Oryzias latipes: one gene and its partners. The protein of the gene in region 3 binds, or shares a complex with, the protein of the main gene of each other region. Links are inferred from orthologs where the notes say so. Each region holds a gene or a part of one and is shown on either strand. Other genes may lie near its edges. The genes, in order: pole4, pole, pole3, baz1a and chrac1.

Region 1 (5,799 bases), on a different chromosome or scaffold from region 3:
TACAGTAGCATATGAGTATAGCACTGCTGTCATTTTGTCCATAAACCTGGAAATAAATAAAAGCAATAACTGATGTTTCAATATTTGCATTTCACAATAAAGAATAAAACGTTCTGGACTCTCTGTGAAGATAAAAAACTTAAATCAGACGACCTTTTGAAGTCTTTTTCTACTTCAGAACCATCCTGGATGGATGAGAGTTTTAATAGACAAAATGTTTTCACTATAAGTTTAACTCAGATAAAATAATGTCACTTGTTTCAACTTTACAATAAACTCATCCACCGAATAAGTAAATGCATGAATTGAAAACTGTCCATTTATAAATCTGAGCGTTATTTCTATAAAATTAATCTAATTTGCAGTTGTCATCGACTGTATAGCATCGAAGAAAAACTTGTAACTAATGTTGAAATGCAAGTTAAAAGCATTTGATGTTCTTACAATTACTTTTGCTTTTTATTAAATATGACAAATAAGAAAAATAATGCAACCTTTAAACAATTTCTAAGCAAGTAATGAATCACATCCAACCACTTTTCACTGTTAAAAAAATAAATTAAAAAAGTAGATAAAATTGCTTTAAAGTTACCTGGATTTTGTGGATCCTTCATCTCCGTCGCGGCCGCTCTAATACCTGACTGTGACCAAACGTGAAGGAGCTTCAGAGGCTCAATCGCTCCTCACAATCCTATTAATGCAGTGTATTAGGGAACTGCACATCATGTTCTCCGGAACGAACTGTCCCTCATGGAAAACGCTGAAATGATCATTTCAATGCCTGAACCGCAGTCGATCACATTTATGCACTAAAGTCTGTTTCTTACTGTGAAATAAAATCAGATGACCTCAGAATGAGGCAGCACCGGATCTATTCTTTTTTTTTTAAAGTCAAATACATGAACACAAAAACATCCGCAGCAAAAGAAAAACATGTGAAAAAAACATTACATCATTTAAAGAAATTATATACATTTCTTTTTTGGTTTTAAATTTAAAAAATGGGAAAAATGAGAAAAGGGGTTTCTGTCCTCGTCATTTATTTTCTTTACAAAAAAAATTAAAAAGGAATAAATCAAGCGAATATATATTTTTAAACATATTTTTAAATTAGACCCCAAAGTTGAGGAGAAGTTATATCTACCTGCAGCCCCCATGTATAGCAATCAAATGCAGTGTCGTTAACAGCCTGCAGGGCGGAGCTCTTCGGAGTGCAAAGTTAAAAAAAACAACTGCAAAGTTTCTTGTTTCTAATATTGGCATTTGAACATATTATCTGTCATTTCCTAAGCATTATTCTATACACAATAATTCTAAAGGAAATAAGAGGCTGCAGAATTGTATTTTGTGTGTCTGAGCAACAGAAAACCAACATTTTTATGTTTATACAATTGAAATTAAAATGGCTAAATACAGTCTGTTTCATTGCAAAACACTTTCCTCTTAAAAAAAGGTAAAGAGTTTAGAGGCAACAGCACAGCAGTTCTGATAAAGTCTTTTTTCTTTTCTTGAGTAAAAAACACATGTTTAAATATAGATGCTCAATAAAATGACCAAAAAAAAGTTAAAGAAATGTCTTCTGACAACATAATTGAAAAATATTTACAGTTTTCATAAAACTTAATTTGCGTTTTCTTTGCAACATTTTAACTTTTTTATTGGGTATGCAAAATTAGGGGCAATGTACAGTAAGGAAACTTTAAATAAAAACAGATTAAATGAAAAAATAAAATACATAATAATCAAAAGAAAAGAGTACCAGATATTTTCAAACCGTTTTTGTCAGGTAGTTTCGGGAGTAATTTTTAAATTTCTCTTTGTTTAGATTGTTGCTTTTAACAGCTTTATATTTAGCTTCACTTTGCTGCCACCTTGTGGACATTTTGTTTATTGGTGTTTTGTTAATTTATTTTTAACCCACTTTTTTCTTTTATCTACTAATCTTAATGAAAAGATTAAATTATATTCACCAAATTTATTTGAAAGAGTCTTACAGCTGATAAACATTTGACTGAGCCACTGAGTTGTCGGTAGTTGGGCGGTAACATTGTTTGAGTGGCAGTCACGTTTGACCAATCATACGGCTTTGTTGTCCAATCTGTCCAATCATTGACTTGAAAGCGTTGGCGGGACCAAAGGAAACTGACCAATAGGGATGCAGTGCCTCTACTAGACCGGAAGCACATGCTGGCGCGCTGCTGTTCGCCTTCGTTTGTTACTTTTATCTTTGTCATGAAGTTAGAAAGCTTAATAAATATCCGCGCGTCTGTTTTTTGATCACTTTTTGGTGGGGGGGAAAATAACTCCCCGTTCAATGGCAGCGCTCGTCTCCTCTACGGAGCAGGAGTCTGACAGGTGCGGGAGTGAGGAGGAGAACCGCGGAGTGGAAGCGGGGGACGGGGGCCAGCAGCAGCAGACGGGTCCCGCCGCACCCGGCGGCAGCCGCCTGTCCAAACTCCCGCTGGCTCGCATCAAAGCCCTGATGAAAACCGACCCAGACGTGTCCCTCGCCAGCCAAGAGTCTGTGTTTATCATCGCCAAAGCCACGGTGAGTCCCTGAACCCGCAGCCCGCTCCGCGAGGAGAAGGTTCGGCCCCGCACGGCACCATGGGATGCTATGATGGTCAGAGGTGATGATGATGATGATGATGATGATGGTGATGTTTCTCTCTTCTTCCTACCAGGAGTTGTTCGTTGAGATGATCGCCAAAGATGCTCTGGTTTACGCCCAGCAAGGGAAGAGGAAAACTCTGCAGAGGAAGGACCTGGGTAAGGCCTGAGGACGCTCCACATCTCTGCATTGTGCTCGATATTTGCCGAACTAGTGAGCATCATTTTCGCAGAGACTTCTGGGAAGTTTCTAGGGCACTGGAGTTTGGAATTGTAGGTTGTGTCCAAATTCCTTCCCTACTCACCAGATAACGCATTCGCCATGTTGTAGTGCTGTCTGAATCTACAATCTCCCAAATCCAGAGTCCTAGAAATTTCCCAGAAGTCTCTGCCAAAAACCAGCGTGCATCAATGCTCACTAGATCAGCGAATATAGACCACAATGCATTGCGTCGGAACGATTTTTGCCAAAAAATGTATTTTTTGTTAAACTATCAACATTTTTATCTTCAGAAGACATAATAAATAATCGTCATAAAACGCTCATATTAATTAGATTTTAACTTTGTGGAATCGATATTTGAAGCAGTGAGCCTGGTCTCCGAATTTCTTTTCAAATCCAGGGCACTACATAGAGCCGCTCTATAGTTTTTTAGTAGTTAGGGGTTAGGGCGGGAATTCAGAAACAACCTATAAATCAAACCAGAGTATAAGTCAAATAATAATGATAAAAAAGAAGAAATAATTATGTAGAAGTCGCACTTTGGGGAGAAATTAATTTAACAAAACACGGTAAAAAATACCAGACATTTCATCTTAAAATAAATAGCAGGTATAGACTGAATATTTACAACTTCACTACTGTAAAAGTATTTAGTTTGATGACAAATAGGAGGAATCTATTCAAATTAGTGAAACATATGAACAGTTGTTCAGATAACCATGACATAAAGAACATGCTAACAAGAGCGGCGTAAGACTGAGCGGCGCTTCTTCACTGTCAGTAACAAACATCTACAGAACACATCTGGCTCCAAACTCTGGATGGCTCCAATATCGCTCGCCATTTCTGTTGCACCGCTCATGCTAGGTTGAGGGGCTGTATGTAAGAGAGTATGTAAACAGAGAACTCTCAGACACGGTTAGGGAATGGGTTGCTATGGCCCAAGGCCCCGCCCACAACTCGCAGGTGAATTTCTACTGAACTCCTGCCACTCTACAGAAAATATGTCCACGAAACAACAAACAAACAAAAAACGGCATCATTATAATTGAAAGACGGTTTTGAAAATGGATCAACAGATGATCGGAGTGGGACAGTAGAATAAACAAATGAACATTAAATTCATTAAAATTCAAACATATTTAGTTTCTTTTTTGTGTTTCATTTGACAAACTTCAGTGGTTTCTCCTCCTGAGTTTCATTCGTTTGTTGTTGTTTTGTTGTCCCTGCAGACAACGCAATAGAGGCCGTAGACGAGTTTGCATTTCTTGAAGGTAAAAAAACCCACGTTCTTTCTGCACATGCATGTTACTGACAGCGTGTGCACAGGAACATTTCATTGACATGTTTGTGCATCCGGTAACTGTATCATTTTTTTCTCTGCAGGCACGCTGGACTAGAGACGACCGGCTTGACGGGCGGCGCGAGCGAGCGAGCGACTTCCTCCGGTCCGTTTGTGCAGAGACAAAAAGCTCTTCTGCTTAAGGACTCGTACATATGTACACTGTTGTGTAAATATTTTTGCTAAATTCACTGAAATAAATGCGTTTGAAACTACCGGTTTATTTCTAAAGTCATTCCTTGCTGCATTGTGGGTAAGGTTGGTTGCCAGCATCTTAAAATACATTTAGAATCGTTTTGATTAATAAAGTTTGAAGGAATTAAATTCTTGAACATTTTATAAAAAGAAAAGAAAACAACAGGTTTGTATTTTCAGACAGTCACAACATGATTCTGATTCATTTCCTTGATAAGTTTGTGTTTTCGGAAAGAAACAACTAAAAACTTCCTAAAAGGGTTCAAATCTAAACTGTAAACACCTAAACCTTTATGTTTTATGGACGCTGGATCCTTGGATGCCAGTACTTTATATTAGCTATTGTGAGTCGAAAGTATATTTGGGCTGAGAACATACATGTTTATGTGAAATAAACAGGCCGTCATAGTTTTTGACTTCAGAGTAAAGTCCTGAAATATTGGAATATTTGTTTTTAAAATGGGAATTGGTTCATTTCAAGGAAACAAAAACTTAAGAAAACACACAAAATGATAGATATAGATAAAACTAACTTAAGACAAGTCATGAACTAATAGTAATATAAAAATTACAGAGGAAAATAATAGAAATGCATAGTTTTAAGTATACAAGCATGTGTAAATGACATCATAAATATAATAATTTTCTTCCATACATATTCTACATGACTCATTTAATAGGATAAATATAGACTTTGGTAAATTGCTTAAGGAATGGGGCGAGGAGGGTTCATATTCCAAATAATAGCAAAGATGATTCCAAAAAAGACAAAATACATAATCACTTCAAGTAATAATAACATAAGGTGCTTATTGATTATGATCAGAAAAGATGATTAAATGAGTCCAGAATTCACGGCTGAACCACATGTGGTTATGATGTTAAATGAATGGTTCATATAGAAAGTTCATGAAACATTCATCCTTCTGGATTTTAATGATTTCCCTTTTATCTGTGAAAGCCTGAGTCAGGTGGAACCGTACAAAACGAACATTTTATTGATAGCAAAGCTGGTGGGATCTATGTGGTCTAGTTCTGCTCAATAAGTCGCAAATTTATCGTTATGGTGATATCTATCTGTGCAATACGCTTATCGCAAAAGATGGCGAAAATCACAATAAGAGGATACCGGTACTTGAAATGTGCTTAAACAAACTTATGGCACCTTGAAGTATTTAGTGAATCAAATAAATCCATTTACGCATTTGACCAATCAGATGAAGCCCTTTTATATTAGATGTTCACCTCCTATGCAGACTAGTTTCATTTGAAGTATAATTTAAGTTATTTTAACTCTTATTTAAATTAAACTGTAGCAGTGAAATGGAAATTATGTTTTTGGTTGTTTTGCTATTTGTTCATGTATCGCAAGTTATAGCGTCATCGCAATTTTGATCATTAATATCGCAAGTTTTCCTCATATCGTTCA
Region 2 (5,940 bases), on a different chromosome or scaffold from region 3:
AAAACAAGAAAAAAACATCAACATTTTTGAAGGCCTTTGTTTTAAAGTTTTATAAGGACTCTTAACTCAAATTAAACAAAGTCTGATACTTTACATCCCTTATTAATTTTTTTCCGGGGGGGGGGGGGGGTTCAAGGTTAAAAGTTTTAAAGTTAAAATGTATGAATCGACAAGACAAATGTTCACAAGATGTTTACATGTGTTGAGAGTCTTTGCTGCCCTCTTGTGGACATCTTTGTAAAGGCATATTGTCTCCATTTTTAAAGTGTTGTGAAGTTGAATTAACAAATCTGTTCATAAACGTTTGGGCAAAGTATTCATATTTGCAACTCATGGTATCTGCTGTTAACAACTGTGAATGAACCTAGCTCAACAAGCTAAATCTTACAGTGCACAAAAGCATATAGGGACCTTCTTCTCTTTAAATTCTTTTTTTGTATTGTTTTGTTTTTTGTTATCTATTTACAAAATAAAAACTAAGGTTAAGTACCAATATCATTGTAAGATTCATAAAAAATGAAAAGAATAGCAGTGTTATTATTTTCTGAGATGCGTCACACATTTGCTGGCTGCAGAATCTTATAAGACATGTACTTGTGAATAAAAATACTTCCTTAAGTCAGATTTATAAATCTTTTACATCTACATTATTGTGTTAAATGAGGTGGAATAAGCAAGGTATACTGTAATAAGGTCACAAGTGTATCAGAGAGCCACACATGCAAACCCAAAACTGATCTAATGAATCATTTCAAAGACCAGTGGAGTCTGGGGGGAAAAAAAAGCATTCAAGGAAAGTTCACGCATGAGAACGTCAGCCGTAATTTATACCAGTAAATGAATCTTACTAGAAAACAATGAAAGTACTGCATTACCAGGTATTTAATTTGATGTAGTTAATACAGTTATGCAATAGTCATAATATTCATTAAAGTTACTAATTGACAGTTTTTCTGTCACATAATCATTTACGATTTTAAATTAAGTCAACATTTTCTAATGGCAATATTTTAATTTACTACATTTTTTTAAATCAAAATAGTTAATAGGCAAATATTTACTTGGCTTAAGATGTAAAGAACTGATAATGTTTAATTTAGGGGACCTCATGACCTTGTTGTGGCCTTTAATGTATTGAGACAACTTGACGTGTTACATTTGTGTCCCTTGCAGTTCAGATATAAGCACATTATTATTTGGACAGCGAGCAGAATGTGAACACAGAAACAGCTTCAGAGGATAGACATTTTAAGTGCACAGTGACGAGTAAAGAAACGATTAAAAAGTGTAAGATAACACCCTCACATCAGCTTAAACATTACGTAGGATTAAACAGATTTACACAAAGTTTCTATAGGTATGTGGGGTTAACGGTGCCAGCGGGTCCTGGCAGGAGACATTCCCCAGCAAGGCTCCAGTAAACAGGCTGAGAGGAACAGCTGCCATCGGAGCTGAGGGTGGCTCCTCAATGCAGGCTAAAGGTCAATACTGAGGGACAGAATGTATTTTGTACTGAAATGGAAACATCCATGCAATCAGCCTTTACAAACATATGGATGCACACGAGAAGAACTGTAAAAATGATGGGCTATACCATTTGCAGTTCATGCACAACAAATTGGAATTTCTTAGAAAAGTATCTCATTGAATTTCTAGTTTTAAAAAAAAGGAAATATTTATGGTTTTATGTCAACTGGAGGAATATGTTCCCTAAAAAATACATTAACATATTTTCTTAAAATACTTTTTATGATTCAGAGTTGTGTCCTTATATGTAAATTATTTTTTAAGCATTACAACTTATTTGTTAGTATGTTTCTTTCTATTTGACCTTATTACTTAAAAAGATAATATTTAGAGTATAAAAATGTGACTGATGCTTTAACAAAGCTGGGAATTTGAATTAAGGAACAAATGACTTGTTTATCTAACAGGAAATGTGCAAATATGAAATACATTCGAATAGCGCAGGAAACAACATAATCAGCTACGATCTGAAGGCTACATGCGGGTCAAGGCCACCTACCACAACCACTGCACGTTGTGTCATCCACTCACCGCCGTCCAACACCTCCTTCAGCAGGTTATAATAACACTACAAATGCACATGAGAAGGAGGGGCGGGGTTACAGTGAGGCTCCTCCCAGGAAGAAGAAGAGGAAGAAGAAATCTCCAAAGATCGCACATTTGTCAGAAGTCACACTCCATTTCTCTTTAATTCAAGTCAAGAACAAAACTAATTGTACAATCACTGAAAAGCGTCATAGGTCCACTTTTTACCACCTCTTTATTGCAAATTCTCTCGGAAAATCTGAATGTTGTCAAAAAAAAAATCTTAGTCATAAATTTCCTGGTTTTACATAAACTCATTATTATTAGCGTTTTCATTGTTTTTATCTGAAAGATAAATATTTTTTCTTGTCATAATATGAACTGTAAAAGCCAAATCACCCGAAAGGAAACATTGAAACAACGAATAAATTAGGAGTGAATGTTCTCTTTAATAAACGATTGTTTTCACTGAGTTTTGGTCTCGCGATAACAGCAAGAGCGCGCCAAAGCAAGAAAAACACAAACCCTACCTGCAAAATTGCCGAAGGAACCAGGAACATAAACTTCAAGCGTCTAAACTTATCAAATGTGAATTATTCTACCATTGGAAAAAGACTACTCGTTGACATTATTTTTAGTAGGGAAAACTATTACATAGAAAATGGTTCTTCAAAATAGTGGACGTTACAGGACGGACCGCGGACCGAATGGAGGAGACCAGGAAAACCAGTGAGTGGCTTTTTCACCAGGCAGCTCTTGATTTATTGTTTATCCACCGACAAAGTATGCTATTAGGCGGAAATAAAAATGCTATGATGCTTATGTGTCTAAACCAGGGATGATGGGTCCTCGATGTCGGCCCTCAAGAGGCTGGAGCGCAGTCAGTTCACCGATGACATGGACGCTCGCTTCGGATTCGACAGGATGAAGGAACCGGGGGAGAAAACCGGGTGGTTGATCAACATGCACCCAGTAAGTCCACTTCTAGTCTGCCGCGATTTAGGGAATGGTTTGGAGAGGACACTGACTGTTTTTCATTTACAGACAGAGATCCTGGATGAGGACAAAAGAATGATCAGCGCTGTGGATTATTATTTCATCCAGGAGGATGGAAGCAGGTTTAAGGTTAGTGTAACCTTTAAAAATAGATTTGATTATTCAAATATTTAGTTTAATATTTACCTTGTGATATTTACTGTCTGTAGGTGGCCCTTCCCTTCAAGCCTTATTTTTATATTGCTACAAAAAAGGTACATTTTTTTAACTTAGTTTAGCATCTTTTCTGTGTAAAGAAAGAGCATAATCGGGTTTTGTTATTCCTAGAACTGCGAAAGAGAGGTCATATCATACTTGTCTAAGAAGTTTCAAGGCAAAGTGGCCAAACTTGAAATGCTTCCAAAAGAAGATCTAGATCTGGTGAGTTTAAAAAAAAAAATCAATGTGGATTTGGTTTTAATCAAGTCAAGTGGATTAAAAGAAAAAAAAACACCTGCTTTACCCAGCCAAACCATCTCGTTGGACTGAAGAGAAACTACATCAAGCTGTCGTTCAACACCGTGGATGACCTCATCAAAGTCAAGCGGGAGATTGCTCCTGCCGTGCGCAAGAACAGAGAGAGGGAGCAGTCGCATGATGAGTACACCTCCATGCTGTCGAGGTATCAACAGCTCCTCTAAGCTGATCTCCCGTCTTAAGATGAGTGTGATGGAGACGTTTCTCTGCTTTGTTGTTGCTTTAGCGCGTTGTCTGGAGTCGGTGTGACCACAGCAGACGAGGACGGGATGTCAAAGAGCATCGTCGATCAATTAGACAATGTGGTGGACATGAGAGAGTATGATGTGCCTTACCATGTCCGACTGTCCATCGACCTTAAGATCCACGTTGTAAGAAGAACTTGACAATAAATTGTATTTACTTTTTGGACATCTGGCTTTGCTTCATTTAGTGTCTCTACTTCGTTCAGGCTCATTGGTACAACGTTCGCTACAGAAGCAACGCTTATCCCCTAGAGATTATCCGCAGGGACGATCTTGTGGAACGACCAGTAAGAAGATTTTTATATTCCTTTTTTAAAACGGTATCTGTAAATAATTTCTGCTCATACAAAATAACATTCTGGGGTCTTTAGTTCATAAGTTTCACAGAAATCTTCTTACAGGATCCAGTTGTTTTGGCCTTTGACATCGAAACCACCAAACTTCCTCTGAAATTCCCAGATGCAGAGAGTGATCAGATTATGATGATCTCCTACATGATAGACGGGCAGGTGTGTTCAACTTCAAATGGTTTTTTTAACAAATTTAAAAAAAAAAATCTTTCAAGTTGTGTTGTTTCACACCAACCCCTGTTTTATCTCCTCAGGGGTTCCTTATTACAAACAGAGAGATTGTCTCTGAAAACATTGAGGATTTTGAGTTCACCCCCAAACCTGAATATGAAGGGCCCTTCACTGTTTTCAATGAGGACAATGAGGTTCGTAGCTCTCACATCGTAATTATAACAACAGTTGCAGGTCTACAGGTCCTTGAAAAACATACTGTTTCTTTTCATTGGCTGCAGGCTGCTCTCATACAGAGGTGGTTTGATCATGTTCAAGAAACAAAACCAAACATCTTTGTGACGTACAACGGAGACTTCTTTGACTGGTGAGTTTGTGTGTCAGTATATGCACAGAATTTTGAGGAATTTCTCAACATGGTTGTTCAGCTGCACGAAGACCAGAGCGGCCAGATCAGGCTCAATAGCGACCTTTCAGACACTTTCCCCATCATCAACGGCGTAAAACAGGGCTGTGTCCTGGCACCCACTCTTTTTACGATCTTCTTTAGCATGATGCTAAAGCAAGCCACTGATGGCCCTGATGACGAGGATGCCGTGTACATTCGCTACCGCCTCGATGGCAGCTTGTTCAACCTGAGACGACTGAAGGCTCACACCAAGACCCGTGAGCAAATGATCAGTGACCTCCTCTTTGCTGATGACGCAGCTCTCCTAGCTCACACCCAGAGAGCACTTCAGCGACTAACTTCCTGCTTTGCAGATGCTGCCAAGCTCTTCAGACTTGAAGTTAGTCTAAAGAAGACAGAGGTCCTCCACCAGCCAGTACCTCGGGAAGTGTACCAGCCTCCCCATGTCTATATTGGAGAGACAGAACTAAAAGCTGTCCAGCAGTTCACCTACTTGGGGTGCACAATTACCTCAGATGCCAGGATCGACAAAGAGTTAGACAACAGGCTCGCCAAGGCGAATAGTGCCTTTGGCAGACTCCACAGTCGGGTGTGGAACAACAAGCACCTGAAAAAACCCACCAAGATCAGTGTATACAGGGCAGTTGTGGTGACCACCCTTCTTTCCGGCTCTGAGTCTTGGGTCACTTACCAGCACCATCTGCGAGTCCTCGAACGTTTCCACCAGCGCTGTCTACGCACCATTCTTGGCATCCATTGGAGCGACTTTGTCACCAATGTTGAAGTCCTCGAGAGGGCAGACATCCAAAGCATAGAGGCCATGCTTCTTAAGTCGCAACTGCGGTGGGCTGGGCATGTACACAGGATGGAGGACCACCGACTGCCAAGGATCACTCTGTATGGCGAACTTGCATCAGGCCAGCGAGATAAAGGGGCACCAAAAAAGAGATACAAAGACTCTCTTAAGAAATCCCTTGGTGCTTGTAACATCAACCATCGTCAGTGGTCTACTTTGGCAAAAGACCGTGACACCTGGCGCCAGTACATCAAAGACGCTGTCTCCTCTTTTGAAGACAAGCGACGGACTAGGCTAAAAGACAAACGGCAAATGAGAATAGCCGGCCTCACGACTGCACCGAATCCAGAACAGACTTTCACCTGCAGCCTCTGCTACAGGATCTGCCTTTCCCATATTGGATTG
Region 3 (5,965 bases):
GGTCTTAACTCCATTCTGTGTGTTTGGAGGAGGAAGAAGGAGGAGCATCATCCCAAGAACACCATACCTACAGTGAAGCACGGGGGTGGAAGCATCATGCTCTGGGGGTGTTTTTCTGCACAGGGGACAGAACGACTGCACTGTATTAAGGAGAGGATAAACGGGGCTCTGTATTGTGAGATATTAGGCGTAACCTTACTTCAGTCAGAGCGTTGAAGATGGGTCGTGGCTGGGTCTTTAAGCATGACAATGACCCGAAGAACACAGCCAAGAAAACCAAGGAGTGGCTCCGTAAGAAGCATATCAAGGTTCTGGAGTGGCCTAGCCAGTCTCCAGACCTAAATCCAATAGAGAATCTTTGGAGGGAGCTGAAACTCCGTGTTGCTCAGCGACAGCCCCGAGCCCTGACAGATCTAGAGAAGATCTGTATGGAGGAGGGGGCCAAAATCCCTGCTGCAGTGTGTAGAAACCTAGTGAAGAACTACAGGAACCGTTTACCTCTGTCATTGTTAACAAAAGCTTCTGTACCAAATATTAAAGTTGTTTAACTCAAGTGATCAAATACTTTTGTCACAGTAATATACAAATAAATTGTTTTAAAAAATCATAGGTGATTTCTGAATGTTTCTTTAGATTCTGTCTCTCACTGTGGAAATGCACCTATGATGAAATTTTAGACCCCTCCATGTTTTCTAAGTGGGAGAACTTGCTAAATCACAGGGTGATTGTTGACCTCACTGTACCTGTGCTCCCCTTAAGATCCTCTACAACCCTCCACGAGCCCAGACAACCTAAAAGCCATCCGGGTCAGCCCCCGAACAGGTACGTGTGCTTTTGGGTCGTCGTCTACTGAACTGGTTCCAGGTCAGGTGTTTCCTCACCTGTCAGTTCAAACAGCCTGATGTGGTTGGAGGACTTCCGTATGATGACCCTGGCATCTGCTGCTGGAGGGCTCTCCTCCATTCACTTGTGGTTCAAGAACCTGTACGTTCTACTTGTATACAAAACATTTATTGAAACTACAAAAGAGTGTATCATGGGAACACCAAACCGCTGGCTGATGGAGAGGGGACTGCAGGAATGAAGCCGTCCTTCTGAGAGCAGTTTTTACAGTTTGTGAAGCCAGAGTCCGGTCTCATGTCGGACAGGTCTGTCTCCTCAGTTCTCCACCTCCTCTTCCCCCTCCTCGGTCTCCTCCTCCATGCGTTGTTCTTCCTCATCCTCTCCCTCCTCATCTTCCTTGCTCTTTTCATGCTCACAGTCTGCCTTCTTCTCTTTTTCTTTGCGTTTCTGCTCAGACACTTCCTTCTTTCCCTTCTGACCTTTCTTGTAGACTGTGGAGGAACACACTGTTAGCTGTTGGACAGCAGCATTCTGAGGCTGTGTGTTTGTGCGTCTGACCTTCTAGAGCCGCTCTGAGAGGCTCCAGGAAGCGTTCGAACTCCATCTCCTCCATCGCTGCCAGCACATCTGCAGCATTTAAAGTCTTCCGTTTGGCCTTCAGTGCAAAGTTATTGGCACTAAAAGCAGAAAACGGTCTTTATTTACGGACAGAAAGTGCTGAACGCAGAGTTTTGTGGATGGGGGGGGGGGGGGGGGGGGGCTTCTCACCAGGAGGTTGCATACAGCACAAAGACGCTGGCGGCCTGGGAAATGGCTCTGCGCGCCTCTTTGGATACGTTCACCCCATCTGGAAGCTGTGGGAAAGCAGAGCGTTAGAGAATCAGAACCGTGGCGGCAGAAACCAAACGGTTCAGAGAACCAGAGATCCGGATCACGGAACTGCCGGTGGATCTCTGCCAAAAACCTGCAGAGCTGAAAAGCACAGGACTGTTGAGAAACGCATGAGCAAACTCCTTTGGTGTAGCGTTGCAGTGCCACCATGTGGCAGCAGGAAATGACATGTCTGTTTAGAGAAAAGCATGCTGGGAAAACAAACAGTCACACAATTCTGTTTTCTGCACAGACACATAAAGGTGTACATCAAACCATAATACTGATGTCTCATAAAAGTAATGTAAGATTTTTGGTCTAGATTTTGATTAAGCAAATAGCTTTTTCCTCTAATTAGTAGATCACCATTCCTTTGCAGTACTAATTAGAACTCACATTTACTATCACCTCATTTCACTGCATATTATTTTAATAATCCACAACTGAGATCTCACAATCATTAACGATTGTAGACGCTTGTAGTGGACCAGTCCAAAACTATACAGAAAAACAAACGAAAAGACTAAAACTATTGTCAGTAGAAGTGCTGTATGAAGTACTAAGTGGTACTATGAAGCAATGGTGAGCTATTTATTATAAGAACAGGTTTTAAGGATTAAATACTCTGTATTAATACTATTTTTAGTAGTACTACTAATAAATGAAGGAATGATCATAACTCAAATCTGCTAAGTGATGTTAGTGTCACGTCTACTCACATTGGAGTGATAGATTTACTCAAAGACTATACAGTAAACCAACTAATTATTTGAGGGGTATTGTACTAAATAGTACTATGGAGGATCTGTGAGCTACTAATTTGAGGAACAGGTTTTTTTTTAGGTTAAACTCGGGCAAAGAGGCTACTTGTGTTTTTTTCGGTACTGTCATTTTCATGTACTGCAAACGGCCATCACGTTATTTGTCTCTGTTGATGCTTCTCCACCGCTTCAGTGTAATCTCACTCCTACAGTCCAGTGATGGCTGACATGACCCCAGCATGCATCCAAACAAGGCAAACTCCACACAGACGGGATTTGAACCAGCATGTTCTCACTGTAAGGGGAGAGTGCTGACCACTACACCACTGTGCAGTACGCTGGAAACTAATGACTTCTTTTTTTTTCTTTTTTTTTGCATCATGTAGGTAATGAATGACATAGCATGAAAAGCTAAATTAGTTTTTACAAAAAATACAAGTTAGTGAATAAACTGCTGCTTTAATCTTTTAATGAACGGACGTCCAGGCAGCGGGAGCGCCATCTTTGTTTTGGTTGCACACATTTAAACTTCGCCGTTGCTCGGTAACGATCGTTCAGGTGAGTCCGGCAGCTCCGACACTCGTCTTGCCCTCTGAGCTCCTTCCCGGGGTAACCAACTCACCGCCTCCTTGATGATGCGCGTGATGACCGCGTTAGGAAGGTTCAGATCCTCCGGTTTCTCGGCCATTCCTCCGCTCGCGCGGAAAACACGCAACTCTGCTCGGCGCTGAGCTCACCTCTTTGACTGAATGGATTCGCACGTGCGCTAAAGGGACACGTGCTGTCAGATTCAGCCTAAAAGCACTGGCGGAAACGCGTTTTTGTTTTGAGACGTTTCCCGCGAACCTCCCGGAAGGACGTCATCAGAGAAATTGCGACCTCCCGCCTTTTGTGATGTCATTTCCGTTCAAGCCCAGTTTTTTTAAATGAACTTTATTGACAAATATTGCAAACACACTGTATGTCACACAGGGACAAACAGGAACACCTGTGTCCGAATTACCGCCCTAACCCCTATCTAGTGCACTATATAGTGCGGTCGCCATTTTGTAGGGGGGTCCGAATAAGTAGCAGAGAACACAAGTGAAGAAACGACAGTTATTTTTTTTTGGTTTTGGTTTTTCCGTTTTTTTTTTTTGTTTTTTTTGGCAGATGTCGATGACTTTAGCTTTCACATCCTCTGTGTTGTTTTCCGGAACCCCGGCCGGCCTCAAGTTCCATCTTCGAGAATAACGCTCCAGCTCTTCAATGCGACTTTCACAGGACCCCATGCGCTGTTCCCCCATTTTAACCTGGGTGTCAACCTCCTTCATTTTAGTTTTCATTTCCTTCAGCCCCTCCGAAACGAAATCAATGGGTTTTTTCAGACCTTTGATTTTCATACAGCTCTCCCTCACTATCTTTTCAAGGGAATCAGATCTTGAATTGAAGAGGAAAGAGAGTTTGGTAATAATGCCTTCAGGATCTTCCATTTCAGAAGCTTTACCTCTTTTCAGTAGTGAGGACTTCAGTGGCGTATCAGGAAGGGGGGTCAAAGTGAAGTCGTTAGCTTCCATTGAGTCATCTGTTGCAGCCGTTTGGTTAGCATAATTGTGCGCGTCTATAACACAGCCTTTTGTAGGCAGACTATCTTGCTCTTTTCTTTTCTTTTCGGGTTTTGGCATGGTGGTGATATAAGATTGCTGTTGTCACAGTCTTTTTAATGTTGGCTTTAACAAGGCTTTCTTCCACAACAGTTTTTTTTACTTGACCTTACTTGAGGTTGAATAATTACGGAGCCCGTGACCTGACAGGGGTAAAAATAATATACTATTCGTTTCCTGGAAACAATAATGACCTTTTACACGCCTGCATTTTCAACCGGAAATAAACTGAAATGCTTCAAGTTACACATTTACTGTCAACAGGATAACTGGTTTAAAGCAATAATATGAATGAAACCTATATTACCGCATTGCATCATTGATGTTTTCATTGACTATAGCAAAGGTGATGACTACGCAGGGTGGCCCTGGGTGAGCGGCTGGATGGCAGACAGACAGCCGCTTTCTGCCGCCGGAGCGGCATAGTGATCTCCGGCGGCTGAGCTCGTTGGCTTGTTATGCCAGCACAGACAGTGCGCTGCTGTGGGATGGGCAGGCAGCCAGCTCGGGTCTCCTTACAATATCTTTCATATTTTCATCGAGACAATAATAAAAAAGATCCCCTAGTTTGATAGTCGTTTTTATTGTTCCCCTCTCAAACAAAGAGATACAGAAGTAGCGGCGGAGAGGGGTTGCAGCGGGATGGGGCTCACATAGCCGAGATAGACTTCGAATGAACCCAGACATGGAAAAGGCTTGTTTTCAAAACTCAGACACAAAAACCTCTGGAAAAAGAGAGACAACAGCTGCAGGAAGAAAAGTCCACCCTTTTACAAGAACCCACTCACCTAAAGGAGGACGTCTTTAGACTAAAAAGAAAACTTTTGGTCAGAGGTTTCTGAGCCTGTTTAAAAAATCTAGAAAAAAAGACCAAAAAATTAAACAAAAGAAGAAGCAAAAAGAAATGAGGGAGATTAAGTACACTATATTACCAAATATTACATTTGAACTGAAGTGGTCTATTTTTAACCCATAGAGTTCAGTTTGATGTGGGTCCACCTTTTGCAGCTGTTACATCTTCAACTCTTCTAGGAAAGCTGTCCACAAGGTTGAGGAGTGTGTTTCTAGGATTTTTTTACCATTCTTACAGAAGTGCATTGGTGAGGTGACACACTGATGTTGGTGGAGAAGGCCTGGCTTTCAGTCTGCGCTCTAATTCATCCGAAATGTGTTCTATCGGGTTTAGGTCAGGACTCTGTGCAGGCCAGTTAAATTCATCCACACCAGACTCCATGTCTTTACGGATTTAGCTTTGGTCACTGGTGCACAGTCCCGCTCCAAACTGTTCTCACAAGGTTGGAAGCATGGAATTGTCCAAAATGTTTCTGGTATCCTGAAGCATTCACGGTGCCTTTCGCTGGAACTAAGACCAGAAAAACAAGCCCACACCTGAATTCCTCCTCCACCAAATGTCACACTCGGCACAATGCATTCCAAAATGTACCGTTCTCCTGGCAACCTCCAAACCCAGATTCGTCCATCAGATTGCCAGATGGAAAGGTGTGATTCATCACCTCAGAGAAGGTGTCTCCACTGCTTCAGAGTACAGTGGCGGAGTGTTTTACACCACTGCATCCGACGCTTTGCATTGCACTTGGTGATGTGTGGCTTGGATGCAGCTGCTCAGCCATGGAAACCATTCCATGACGCTCTCTGCATACTGTACTTGGACTAAGGCCAGGTCAAGAGATTAGGACACCTGATTCTGATCATTTGGATGGATGAGCGAATACTTTTGGTAAATTTTGTATCTTGGGTTCTTGTTCATAAGAAAGGGAAGACAGGACTGTGAGATTAACAGGAGGATTGTGGTGAAGAGGAAGCTGAGTCAGAGAGACCAACTCTTAA
Region 4 (6,006 bases), on a different chromosome or scaffold from region 3:
TATTTTTCAAAGCTGGTTTTAGAGTTTTATAGCAGCACAGAATCTGCCTGACTGACCCTTTGACGTGTACGACGGGACTCTGGAAGGCGTCGTCCTCCTCATCGCTGTCACTGATGACGATGGTGTCCACCTGAGATGGGTCGGTGTGGCCGTTGGTGCCCGTTGCTCCGTTGGTGGGCGCCACTCCGTTGGCGCTGGAGTAAGGCGAGTGCACCTCCAGGATCTCACACATGTGCCTGGAACACAAGATTCAGTTCGGTGTCGGTGCCGAGGTTTCGGAGGTCAAACTACCAACCACAACAAGAACAAACAAAAAAAAAAAAAGTTTTCCCAAAAACACAAAGATTAAAGAACAAGAACACCAATTTCTTTATAATTTTCAGTCACAAACCGACAAATACGGTGAACTGAAACTAAAGCAGCATCTGTTACTATGAAAACTGTGCAGCCTGAAAAGCGATGCGGCACTTCCCCAGTGCGTACCTGGCCCCGTTGCGCCGGCTGACTTCCACCACCTCCCCGGGAAAAAAGCGGTCCTTGACGAAACCGTAGACGTCCTCGCAAAGCTCCACCAGTCGGCTGCGTTGGCTCATCGCAGCCAGGTGGAGGAGGGGCACCAGCAGCGCCCGAGGAAAGCTGCGCAGGCTCTGCCGCGCGCGCTGCTCGCTCTCCACCGCCTCCAAGTAGGTGAGGCCCGCTCGCCCCGTGAGCGCGCAGCTCCACACTAGGCTGTTGCAGAGGATGGTCCTCTCGAAGAACTCACTGTGGAAGGGAGGTACATGTTCACGTGTGGATATCCGCATACATGACAAAAGTTGATCCGAAGATTAGAATCGGCTCAAACTATTTACTGAAGCCGATTTCTCCACTTTCACTCATATTCTTTGACTTCTATGTCAGCATCTTAAACCTTTCAGAGTTCCTAAATGGATTGTCACACTGAACTGTCTTTAACTAAAGCTTAAAGAAAAAAAAATGATATCATCCAAAAATGAAACACTGTGAGGATGTAAAATACGTGAAAAAGGGCTAATATTGAGAAATCGTAGAAACTTAAATAGAACCACTTTAACCTCTATCGACCTGGCATACACAGGTCTAGTGAAAGTTTAAAAAATAAAATAAAAATGGCATCAAATTAAAGTTCGGGTCTTACGAAGTTAAATAAAAAGTCTGGATCTCTGGAGTGGAACTGAAACAAGTACAAACGTCAGCTGGATTTTGTTCACTACTCAGTAAATGTGCACCAACTCTCAGGATTTGAGGGCCAAGTACTAAATCGACGCAATTCTGGTCCAGAAATTCACAGTTTCTCTTTTAACACGATTATTTTGACGACTGATTTGACAAAATTTAATCTAAAGTGCCATTTTTCAGGAGGTATTATTATTATTAGAATGTATTTTACTTTGTCACTGAACATGTGTGAAATACAGTCAACATCCAACCGAGAGTGCAAATTATTGGTTTTAGAAGCAAAATAACATTTTAGAATTCTAACAATAAAAGAATTAAGTAAATGAGATCACATTGGTGCAATAAAGAAAGTATTGGATACTATGAAATAAATGTCACCAGTGGAGCAAATGATCAATAAATAACTTTGCATTAAATTAATTTAATGTAATTGTATATTTTACAAAGACGAATTTAAGTGCAAAATCAAGTAGATTCATACAATAAAGATATCGTATAACAATATGAACATTTTTATTTCATTCAATCAACAATTAGTATGATTTTTTTTGCTATTAAGAAAACAGCTTTAAGAGAAAATCATACCTTTAATTTTTTTTAAAAAATGTTTTTACACTGACTTTACTTTGTTTTTTAATAGTTCCAGTCCTGAGACATTTAATCCCAAGATGAGAATTTAAGGTTTTTGATTCAAATCAAACTTTGTTTAAAAAGCACTTTCATACATTGGCAACACAAAACATGTTTCAACTAAATGAAAAAACGCAAAAGCAAAACAGAAAAACGCCAAAGCAAAACAAAGACAAAAAAACAGGGGAAGAAAAACTTGTTTTGTATTTTTTGGTTTATTATTTAATCGGCAGATTAAACCTTTCGACTCCAATAAAGAGACAATCCGCCCAGACAGACGCAGCTTTGGTCTAAATCCTGTAATAACCGCGTTTCGGCGTGATTACAGCGGAAATGACACGTGATTAAAGCTTTTTATCACTGAAAACAACACTTAGTGAACGTTATGGTTGGTTCTGATAAACAAGCAGCGAAAACCCAGCAGGTCGTTTTTTGTGTCACCATCTTCTTCAGCTTTACTCCTGAGAAAGTACATCAACTCAAAAATAAGTGTGTAAAAGGGAAAATGTGGCTCAGAAAGGAGATTTTTTTCGGAATTTATTTTCCTGCTTAGCATCTCTAAATGGTGGAACGACTTTTACCGCCGTGGCGCGAGCGCGTTCGGCGGCTACAGCCGGATCGGTTGCTAACGGCTAACGAGCGGCTGACACTCAGGCGGCGTCGCTGCTCACTCCCGGTCAAAACTCCCGGCTCCTCCTCCTGCCAACAAACCCGGGCTGCCCTAACCGGCCACCTGCCCCACCGGCCGGTCAGACAGACACCTGACCCGCGGAGGGAACCCCCACCCCCCACCCGCAACAGCCTCCTCCTCCAGCCGGAAAAAAAAGTTAGCTTAGTTAGTACAGAAAGTTTCACGAACTCCCCGCCGCGGTTATCGGTGGCCTCGCGGCTACTCACTCGTAGGTCCGGAAGATTTCGTGGGTGATTTTACAGAGAAACACTTCTTCATCCGGCCGCAGGTCCGCCGGAGGCTTCTGTCGGATGAAGGCTTTCCTGTGGAGCAGCGGCATCTCGGGAGCTCCGCTTCTGCGCTGGAATAAAAAAGGAGGGAAAATCGAACAATTACATCCGAACTGCGGCGACACAAGAAAGCGGAGCGTCCGAACGGAACCGAAGTCTGAGCGCGGCGGAGTGAGGAAGAGGAGGGGAGCGAGTCTTTTGTTAGACGCGCCGATAATCTGCCCGCATGGATGTGTTCCTCTTGAACGTGAGAGCCGACGCGCTCGGTTATGACCCAATTCCACGCCAAACGCTCAGCACGCGGCTCAAATCCGCGATAAGAAGCTTTTCTGGAACTTTTTTAAAAATATAAATGTTTTACCAAAATGAGCTACGATGGAACGGCTCCCGCCGGTGCGAAGATAAAAGAAAGAGTCGCGGGCTGAGGCGACTCACTGGCGGCTTGTTGACGAAGTTTTATCCCACTTCAGACTCATTCTTCTTCTTCTACTACTACTTTGGTAGAGTGCATGAAACCTGCCTGTTCTTTACCGCCCCCTACAGGATGTCTCCAGAAAAACACCAGCTCTGTATGAATGAATGAATGAATGAATGAATGAACTGGATAAAAAAAATATTGACCTGCATGATCTTCTTCACTTCTCTCGAATCCAAGAACACTGACCCATTTAGTTTTTTCCTTTTATTTACATAAAAAACGGAGAATGGAGGAATTGTTCCAGAAAAGTGTGGTAAAATTAGTCTTTTTTTTACTGCAAAGAAGATAATGAGCTAGAATTTGCATGGAAGACAGAGAACAGCTTTATTTATCAGTTGAATTTGCATTATATATAAATCACTTTATGTGATCTGTTGAGTGTCTGTCTTCAGGTAACCACATCTGCACAAATGACTACATCAGCCAATTATATACATGATACTACACAGGTTCTGTCACTTGTTCCTGCACACGTTACTGTCCTCTGTCTATATCACAGGAGAACCAGAAGGGTGAATGTCTTCAGTCACATGACCTTGAACAGGTGTGATTGCCTGTCATTACTTGACCCCAGACAGGTGTGGCTGTCCTTTGTCACATAAACAACAAGTGGGATACTCCTTGTTCACATGACCTGGCACAGGTGTGTCTGAGGTATGACGTTCCTCGATCACATGACCCTGTACAGGTGGATCAGAGCGAGGCTTTCGGGGTCTGCATCTTTTCCCAGATAGACGTTGTGATCCACAGGAAGCTCCTCCAGCCATCCCGGCTGCAACTGAATCTGGAGAGGAGCAAAGAAATCTTGATGAGGACGATGTCATGAGGACATCAACCAGGTGTGGGTGATGCTGGTTTTACCTGGAGATGGTTCAGACTCTCCTGCAGACTGGGGACAGTAACCAGCAGACATCCTGCCCTCCTGAAGTTCTGCATGATAAAAGTCCATGCTCTGAAACCAAAGAACGCTCTTTTTAGAAGACATGCAGCTTTTTTTTTTTTTGTTTTTGTCTTTTTCGTGCCACTCTGTGTTTCCACCTGACTTGCTCGCTGGGCTCCATGAAGAATTCAAAGACATTGTTCATGATCAGCACATCTGCGTTCTGCAGCAGAACATCTTGGGTGCAAACATCAGCATGGAGAACCTGGACACAGCAGAGGAGGCGACTGTTTTTGAGAAGCTCTGGACTTGTTTGGAAGAAGGATGAACCGGAATTTGGGCATGAAATCAGTGTTGACAGGTGAAGTCTTAGTCCCACCTGCCTTTACGGGTGGATACGGGCCATCTGTGGGCGAAAAATGGTCGTCTGGGAAATGCAAGTGGCCCCCGTAGACCACTCAATGAAGGGCGAAAATGTTTATGCATTCTTTCTACAGGCATGCTGGGAGAGACGAGTTGTAGCAATCACTTAACATGTACAGGACAGACCAAAAGTTTGGACACACCTTCTCATTTTCTTTATTATCATGACTATGAAAATTGTAGATTCACACTGAGGCATCAAAACTGTAAAGTACCACATGTGGAATTATATACATAAGGAAAAAGTGTGAAACAACTGAAATATGTCATATTGTAGGTTCTTCATAGTAGCCACCTTTTGCTTTAATTACTGCATTGCACACTCTTGGCATTCTCTTCATGAGCATCTAGAGGTAGTCACCTGAAATGTTTGTCACTTCACAGGTGTGCCCTGCCTTATAAATGGGGTTGGGACCATCAGTTGTGTTGTGCAGAAGTCAGGTGGATCCACAGCTGATAGTCCTACTGAATAGACTGTTAGAATTTGGATTATGGCAAGAAAAAAGCAGCTAAGTACAGAAAAACGACTGTCCATCATTACTTTAAGAAATGTAGGTCAGTTAGTCCCAAAAATTGAGAAAACTTTGAAAGTGTCCCCAAGTGCAGTCACAAAAACCATCAAGCGCTACAAAGGAACTGGCTCACATGCGGACCGCCCCAGGAAAGGAAGACACCTCTGCTGCAGAGGATAAGTTCATCTGAGTCAGCAGCCTCAGAAATGGCAGGTTAACAGCAGCTCAGACTAGAGAGCAGGTCAATGGCACACAGAGTTCTAGCAGCAGACACATCTCTACAACAACTGTTCAAAGGAGACTGTGTGAATCAGGCCTTCATGCTAGAATATCTGCTAGGAAACCACTGCTAAAGAAAGGCAACAAGCAGAAGAGACTTGTTTGGGTTAAAGAACACAAGGAATGGACATTAGACCAGTGGACATCTGTGCTTTGGTCTGATGAGTCCACATTTGAGATTTTTGGTTCCAATCACTGTGTCTTTGTGCGACGCAGAAAAGGTGAACGGATGGACGCTACATGCCTGGTTCCCACCGTGAAACATGGAGGAGGAGGTGTGATGGTGTGGGGGTGCTTTGCTGGTGACACTGTTGGGGATTTATTCCAAACTGAAGGCATACTGAACCAGCATGGCTACCACAGCATCTTGCAGTGGCATGCTATTCCATCCGGTTTACGTTTAGTTGGACCATCATTTATTTTTCAACAGGACAATGACCCCAAACACACCTCCAGTCTGTGTAAGGGCTATTTGACCAAGAAGGAGAGTGATGGGGGGCAGCACCAGATGACCTGGCCTTCTCAGTCACCGTACCTGAACCCAATGGAGATGGTTTGGGTGAGCTGGACCGCAGAGTGAAGGCAAAAGGGCCAACAAGTGCTAAGCATTCTGGGAACTCCTTCAAGACTGTTGGAAGACCATTTCA
Region 5 (5,839 bases), on a different chromosome or scaffold from region 3:
AGAAATCAGATCAGAAAGCATGTAAATCTTCATGCAACAATAGCTGCACTGCAGAAAAGCTCAACTTTCAGCACATCTTTAATCCAGTGAGTGATGCTACTATAATACTAAATCCACTGAGAATTGTTAATTATCCCCAAATTTAAAAGATTTACAGACCCAATCATCCATTATATTAGTTTAACAACTCTGGATTCTATTTTTAATCTTGTGTTTTAACGTGTTTTAGTTTTTGTTTTCTTTATTTCCCGTGTTCAGCCCTTTGTATCAACTGCTGTTGTTTGAAAGTGCTATATAAATAGAATTGACAACGTTAACACTCAACATTTCCAACCACCTTTTAACTGATGGAACATGCTGTGCAACTAAAACTGGACAAAAATCGTGATTCATCAATTAAGTCTATAATGGAGTCCCATGTTTTCTTTTATTCTGTTCAGAATGAAGCAGCATCTTGCCAACACAAGGGACAACATCTATGACAGGAGTGCTGTTGCACACCGCCTGGAGAGACAGTTCTCCACTTTAGAGAGAACCCTGCTCAACGCACAACATCGAATCGGCAAACTCTTTATGCCTGCGCTGAAGAGCCCTTACTTATGAACCACTGTATGTGCATGTACGTGTTGATGGATTCTTCAGAGTAGGCTTGCTGTTTGCAACTTCTGTCGGCAGAACACCTAAAACCTGTCATTAAGATCGTGAAAATGCAGCCGATAAATCTTGCTTCATATTGTATTGATTGTGTTAAATACAGAGATTTTGTAGCGTCATTGAACATGACGCAACTGCTCTACTTGTAATTCTGAAAAGAGAAAAAATAAAAGAAAAAAAGTTCAATTCTTTTCCTTTTTATGTACATATGTAGATTTTTTTTCTTTTTTTCTGAGAAATATAAATAAAGATGTAATTTACAGCTGACAGTGACATTATTGTATCCTCAAAATTGAATACAAACAATTTCTCAACATTCAGAAAATTTTTATGAGTCACTTGGACATGAAAAAAGTGGGGTTTTATTTTAAAAAATGAATATACATAGGGGATGTTTTTAAGATAAAAATATTCCCCATCTACTGATGGGGTTTGGGACACATCTTCAGCTTCTTCTACAATATGCAGACATTTGTTACCATAACCACGTCGTCTTATAGGTGGTTAAGTCATGTCAGATTACGTCTTAGAACAGGACATTAATGCTGGACAACAAAGCATTTGTGGAGTTGTGTTTTAAGGTGGTAGCGAATGTTTTTGCCGCAATTGTGTGTAATGGATTTCCAAGTTTCACTTCAAGTCCATGTACATATTTTACTAAAGCACGGTAGAAAATATGAAGCCAACTATCAAAGCCAAATAAAATAATCTTTGCTAAAACCGTAAACTTACAGCCAAGTAGATTTGTCTGACGCTGAACAGTGTGAATAGTAACATTTGCTTAAATTAATTTCAGCCATTCTTAAAAGACATTGTGTGGCATCTATAATTGAAAGTCTTCATTTCTAATCTTAGAATTATCTTAGTTTAATATTATTTCCAACAAAAAAAAACAACAACACATGAGCTGATCTTACTTAAAAGCAGTAAATGTCTTTGGGAAAGCCCCTTTTGAGTAAAAAAATATTCAAACAGATTAGCTTATTCCTATAAATCCGCATCTTCCTCTTGCATCTGTTCCAAAGACTTCAAGTAATCCCGAGCCAAGATCTTCTTGGGCAAAATATCTGTCAAATAAGAGAGAAAAAAAGTTAAAATCCACATGTTAACACCTTCATTACCCATCCTTCTAGGGTAAAAGCCGAATGCCTTCCAAGCCATTAGCTCCCTACACATGGAAGAATATGCACCATTTGAGAAAAAAGCAAAGACTCAGTGTTTTGTGATTATCTGTACTTAATTACAAATAGGGATTCTGTTCCCACCCATAATGCAGTTATTAATGGCTTAGAAACCCTGTCCAAACTGTGGATACCCCTAAGACATGAGTAGTGTAATACAGGATTAAACTTTAATACCCCCCCCCCTAGAATATCAATTATTAACTTAACAAAAGGTATACTATCTTAGCTTTAATAAGTTTCTGTAATGTTTTATTAGGATTTCACATTAAAAATGTCCTAGTCAGTTAGGGGGGTAAAGTTCTTGAAAAATTATTTTATATTGTCATGAGTTCAAAGAAGATATAAACTAGCACAGAAATGAGGACATTTGTGTTTTGTAGATTTACTAATTGACTGGTTTACTAAACAAAAGTCTTATAACTGCCATCTTGGTTGACCTGCTTTGCAGCCTGTCTCTGACATCTCTAGTCCTATCAAACTTGACCTTTAGTTTGGAGATGGTTCCGGGCTTGTTTTTGTTTTGTTGTTTTTTTTATAGAGGAAAAAAAGCTTCAAGTTGCCCTCTTGCATGATCTCAACAATCAACAGATCTGTTCAAATGATTACAACAGAAACCAACGTGTCATTAAGCAAGACCAATAACCACAGGTGCTGCCAATTATGCACCTGTGGTTACCTGAAGCTCAAAATAAGTCAGTAACAACTAAGACAATTAACGATTAATTGACTTTATAGATAAATCCATTTATCTTCCTATGATCCAACCAGATTGATGCATCTGGGGCAGGTGGTTAAGCGAATTGATCTATGCCATTATAAAATAATTTTAAAATAAAATAAATTGATAATATACTGGTATTGGAAAATACCATTTGGATTTTACATTATCATATAATGTAAAAATGACTGAGTGGATTGTTGGAAATGATCAAGCAATCATTACAGTCCAATGTGTGGAAACAATTTGATTTTTGCAAAGATGTGTGGCCATACAGAATGGTATGATGTTCTAATAATGTATTATTTTGATGTGGAAAAACAACAGTGGGCAGAACTTTAGGGAAAAAATGTGAATGGATTTGCCCTTAATTCTTGTTTACTTCTTTGTTTAATCACATATGTAATTTATAATACTTGATTACCTTGCAAGAAATACAAGGAATCTGTAAAACTACATCGCCGAGTCACACTGGTTGAAGATTTGGCTAAAGAAGTCAATGAACCGGATTGTTCAAAATGAACCAATATCCACTACGAACCACTTATTATGATATGAATTGAATCATTGTTGAAATGTTTATATGAGCTGTTATGTGAGGTGTGCAGTTAATGTAAGCTGTTTAGCTTTAAAAGTGAAGTTTTGGGAGGTATTGTAAAAGTCCAACTTTTAGACTGACACACAAACGCATCTTCTTCAATATGGCATCGTGTATGGGTTTCCAACACTTTAAGAATAACTCAATACAAAGGGATGGAAGGTTGGTGTCTCACCTGTGAGAAAGTGGAAAGTCTCGGTCTCTTCTGCGGTTTTCGCCAGGTCGCTGTATGACAGCGAGTTCGATTCCTTCCCACAGCCGTTATTGAACGAGGACCGAGCCAGGTGCTGGACGAACAGCTCCTGCAACAACACAACCAAGAGAAATGCTAACGATGCTAGACACTCGAATGAACGGAGCTAGCATGAAACTGCAGCTTACTGTAGCCTTGGTGGTGAGAAAGAGAGCGTCTTGGTTGATGCTGGAGACATCTGGAGAGCTTTTCATGATCAACCGGACTCTAGAGATGGGCAGAGAGATTGTCTTTTTAGCGTCTAACGCGGGGTCGTCTTTTTCTGGACGGTTTTGCGACATTTTTACGAAGCTGTTGCGCGACACAGACAAGCAGAACCACAACTATTGTTGTGGATACGCTGCTGGTTTCTTCCTCGTGTTCATTTGGTGTTTGTCAGCTTTTCAGATGATATAGCGCCATCTACTGGAATGGAGTGGAGTCAAACTTTTTTCTTTTTCTTTTTTTTAAATCATGGATTGTAAAAACAACAATGTAGCTCATTAATATTTCTATTGCGCTTTGATACTAGACTTCAAGTGGTATAAAGCACTACTTAATAAACACCTGTTAAGCTCTTGTGTTTACACCACTGAAGCTCCCAAAGGAATTTTCCTAATTTTCTTCCTTCTAATGCCTAGTTTGTATAATAAACAACTACCATAGAAAAATGATTTAAGACTTTCTTTGGCAAACTGATTACATTTAGGGATGATGTTGAGCTGATTCAGAAATTTGTACGGTGTTGCCATGGAAACCGCCATCAGAATAACTGACCAAAAATATAAACGCAACACTTTTGTTATTGCTCCCATTTTTTAATGGTATGAACTCAAAGATGTGAAACATTTTCCACATACACAAAATAACCAGTTCTCTGAAATATTGTTCACAAATCTGTCTAAATCTGTGATAGTGATGAGCACTTCTCCTTTGCCAAGACAATCCTTCCCACCTCACAGGTGTGCCATAACAAGATACTGATTAGACAGCATGATTATTGCACAGGTGTGCCTTAGACTGGCCACAAGGAAAGGCCACTCTGAAATCTTCAGTTTTGTTTTATTGAGGGGACTCAGACAACCAGTCAGTCTCTGGTGTGACCACCATTTGCCTCATGAAGTGCGACACACCTCCTTCGCATAGAGTTGATCAGGTTGTCTATTGTGGCCTGTGGAATGTTGGTCCACTCTTCTTCAATGGCTGTGCGAAGTTGCTGGATATTGGCAGGAACTGGAACACGCTGTCGTATACGCCGATCCAGAGCATCCCAAACATGCTCAATGGGTGACATGTCCGGCGAGTATGCTAGCCATGCAAGAACTGGGATGTTTTCAGCTTCCAAGAATTGTGTACAGATCTTTGCAACATGGGGCCGTGCATTATCATGCTGCAACATGAGGTGATGTTGTTGGATATACGGCACAACAATGGGCCCCAGGATCTCGTCACGGTATCTCTGTGCATTCAAAATGCCATCAGACGCCATCGCATGTGAGCTTTTGCCCACTTAAGTCGGTTACGACAACGAACTGGAGTGAGGTCGAGACCTCGATGAAGACGACAAGCATGCAGATGAGGTTCCCTGAGACGGTTTCTGACAGTTTGTGCAGAAATTCTGTGGTTATGCAAACCGATTGTTTCAGCAGCTGTCCGAGTGGCTGGTCTCAGACGATCTTGGAGGTGGACATGCTGGATGTGGAGGTCTTGGGCTGGTGTGGTTACACGTGGTCTGCGGTTGTGAGGCCGGTTGGATGTGCAACAGAAACAGCTCTGGTGGACATTCCTGCTATCAGCATGCCAATTGCACGCTCCCTCAAGACTTGCGACATCTGTGGCATTGTGCTGTGTGATACAACTGAAGATTTCAGAGTGGCCTTTTCTTGTGGCCAGTCTAAGGCACACCTGTGGAATAATCATGCTGTCTAATCAGCATCTTGATATGGCACACCTGTAAGATGGGATGGATTGTCTTGGCAAAGGAGAAGTGCTCTCTATCACAGATTTAGACAGATTTGTGAACAATATTTCAGAGAACTGGTTATTTAGTGTATGTGGAAAATGTTTCACATCTTTGAGTTCATACCATAAAAAATGGGAGCAATAACAAAAGTGTTGCGTTTATATTTTTGGTTAGTGTACATTTTTGCCAAAGTGAACATCCTGGACAATAGGATAGTGGATTTTTTTTTTTAAGGATTTGGGAGTTCACCCAAGCTACAAACTGTGCAGGTGTCACAGCAACATGACTATCTGTACAAAAAAAAAAAAGAAAACAGTCCTAAAAGGAGCTAGAGCACACAAAACAAATAAAAATACTGCTTAAGAAGGTCAGAACTGTTTTGAGCTGTCAATTAAAACCTGTAACAGAAGACAATAGAACATTAAATTGGCCCAATTTCCCCATACAGTGCACTTTTGAGGCTCTGAGAAGCTTGTACTGTGACAGACTG

Evidence for each region.
Region 1: pole3 (region 3) and pole4 share a complex: the UniProt entries of both Homo sapiens proteins name them as parts of the DNA polymerase epsilon complex. The link is inferred for Oryzias latipes from reciprocal best matches to the Homo sapiens genes POLE3 and POLE4.
Region 2: pole3 (region 3) and pole share a complex: the UniProt entries of both Homo sapiens proteins name them as parts of the DNA polymerase epsilon complex. The link is inferred for Oryzias latipes from reciprocal best matches to the Homo sapiens genes POLE3 and POLE.
Region 4: pole3 (region 3) and baz1a share a complex: the UniProt entries of both Homo sapiens proteins name them as parts of the CHRAC ISWI chromatin remodeling complex. The link is inferred for Oryzias latipes from reciprocal best matches to the Homo sapiens genes POLE3 and BAZ1A.
Region 5: pole3 (region 3) and chrac1 share a complex: the UniProt entries of both Homo sapiens proteins name them as parts of the CHRAC ISWI chromatin remodeling complex. The link is inferred for Oryzias latipes from reciprocal best matches to the Homo sapiens genes POLE3 and CHRAC1.

The regions. Positions count from the first base shown.
Region 1 is NC_019862.2:30,739,085-30,744,883, reverse strand, and holds pole4 (DNA polymerase epsilon subunit 4), read left to right. Parts: upstream 1-2,142; 5' UTR 2,143-2,314; coding exon 2,315-2,548; intron 2,549-2,684; coding exon 2,685-2,769; intron 2,770-4,065; coding exon 4,066-4,107; intron 4,108-4,219; coding exon 4,220-4,233; 3' UTR 4,234-4,390; downstream 4,391-5,799. Other genes in the region: serine/threonine-protein kinase NIM1-like, read right to left, coding at 593-614. UniProt on the Homo sapiens protein: Accessory component of the DNA polymerase epsilon complex. Participates in DNA repair and in chromosomal DNA replication.
Region 2 is NC_019867.2:13,280,579-13,286,518, forward strand, and holds the start of pole (DNA polymerase epsilon catalytic subunit A), read left to right. Parts: upstream 1-2,536; 5' UTR 2,537-2,713; coding exon 2,714-2,781; intron 2,782-2,888; coding exon 2,889-3,024; intron 3,025-3,096; coding exon 3,097-3,177; intron 3,178-3,257; coding exon 3,258-3,302; intron 3,303-3,375; coding exon 3,376-3,468; intron 3,469-3,554; coding exon 3,555-3,709; intron 3,710-3,790; coding exon 3,791-3,935; intron 3,936-4,015; coding exon 4,016-4,096; intron 4,097-4,210; coding exon 4,211-4,318; intron 4,319-4,413; coding exon 4,414-4,524; intron 4,525-4,611; coding exon 4,612-4,697; intron 4,698-5,940. UniProt on the Homo sapiens protein: Catalytic component of the DNA polymerase epsilon complex. Participates in chromosomal DNA replication.
Region 3 is NC_019861.2:5,685,439-5,691,403, forward strand, and holds pole3 (DNA polymerase epsilon subunit 3), read right to left. Parts: upstream 3,362-5,965; 5' UTR 3,163-3,361; coding exon 3,097-3,162; intron 1,698-3,096; coding exon 1,612-1,697; intron 1,521-1,611; coding exon 1,402-1,520; intron 1,335-1,401; coding exon 1,159-1,334; 3' UTR 993-1,158; downstream 1-992. UniProt on the Homo sapiens protein: Accessory component of the DNA polymerase epsilon complex. Participates in DNA repair and in chromosomal DNA replication.
Region 4 is NC_019880.2:2,516,684-2,522,689, forward strand, and holds the start of baz1a (bromodomain adjacent to zinc finger domain protein 1A), read right to left. Parts: upstream 3,345-6,006; 5' UTR 3,149-3,344; intron 2,859-3,148; 5' UTR 2,838-2,858; coding exon 2,725-2,837; intron 763-2,724; coding exon 484-762; intron 237-483; coding exon 57-236; intron 1-56. Other genes in the region: uncharacterized protein LOC101160205, read right to left, coding at 3,936-4,049, 4,127-4,217, 4,304-4,410. UniProt on the Homo sapiens protein: Regulatory subunit of the ATP-dependent ACF-1 and ACF-5 ISWI chromatin remodeling complexes, which form ordered nucleosome arrays on chromatin and slide edge- and center-positioned histone octamers away from their original location on the DNA template to facilitate access to DNA during DNA-templated processes such as DNA replication, transcription, and repair.
Region 5 is NC_019869.2:23,125,952-23,131,790, reverse strand, and holds chrac1 (chromatin accessibility complex protein 1), read right to left. Parts: upstream 3,776-5,839; 5' UTR 3,689-3,775; coding exon 3,536-3,688; intron 3,457-3,535; coding exon 3,330-3,456; intron 1,722-3,329; coding exon 1,642-1,721; 3' UTR 967-1,641; downstream 1-966. Other genes in the region: uncharacterized protein LOC101165652, read left to right, coding at 441-603. UniProt on the Homo sapiens protein: Forms a complex with DNA polymerase epsilon subunit POLE3 and binds naked DNA, which is then incorporated into chromatin, aided by the nucleosome remodeling activity of ISWI/SNF2H and ACF1.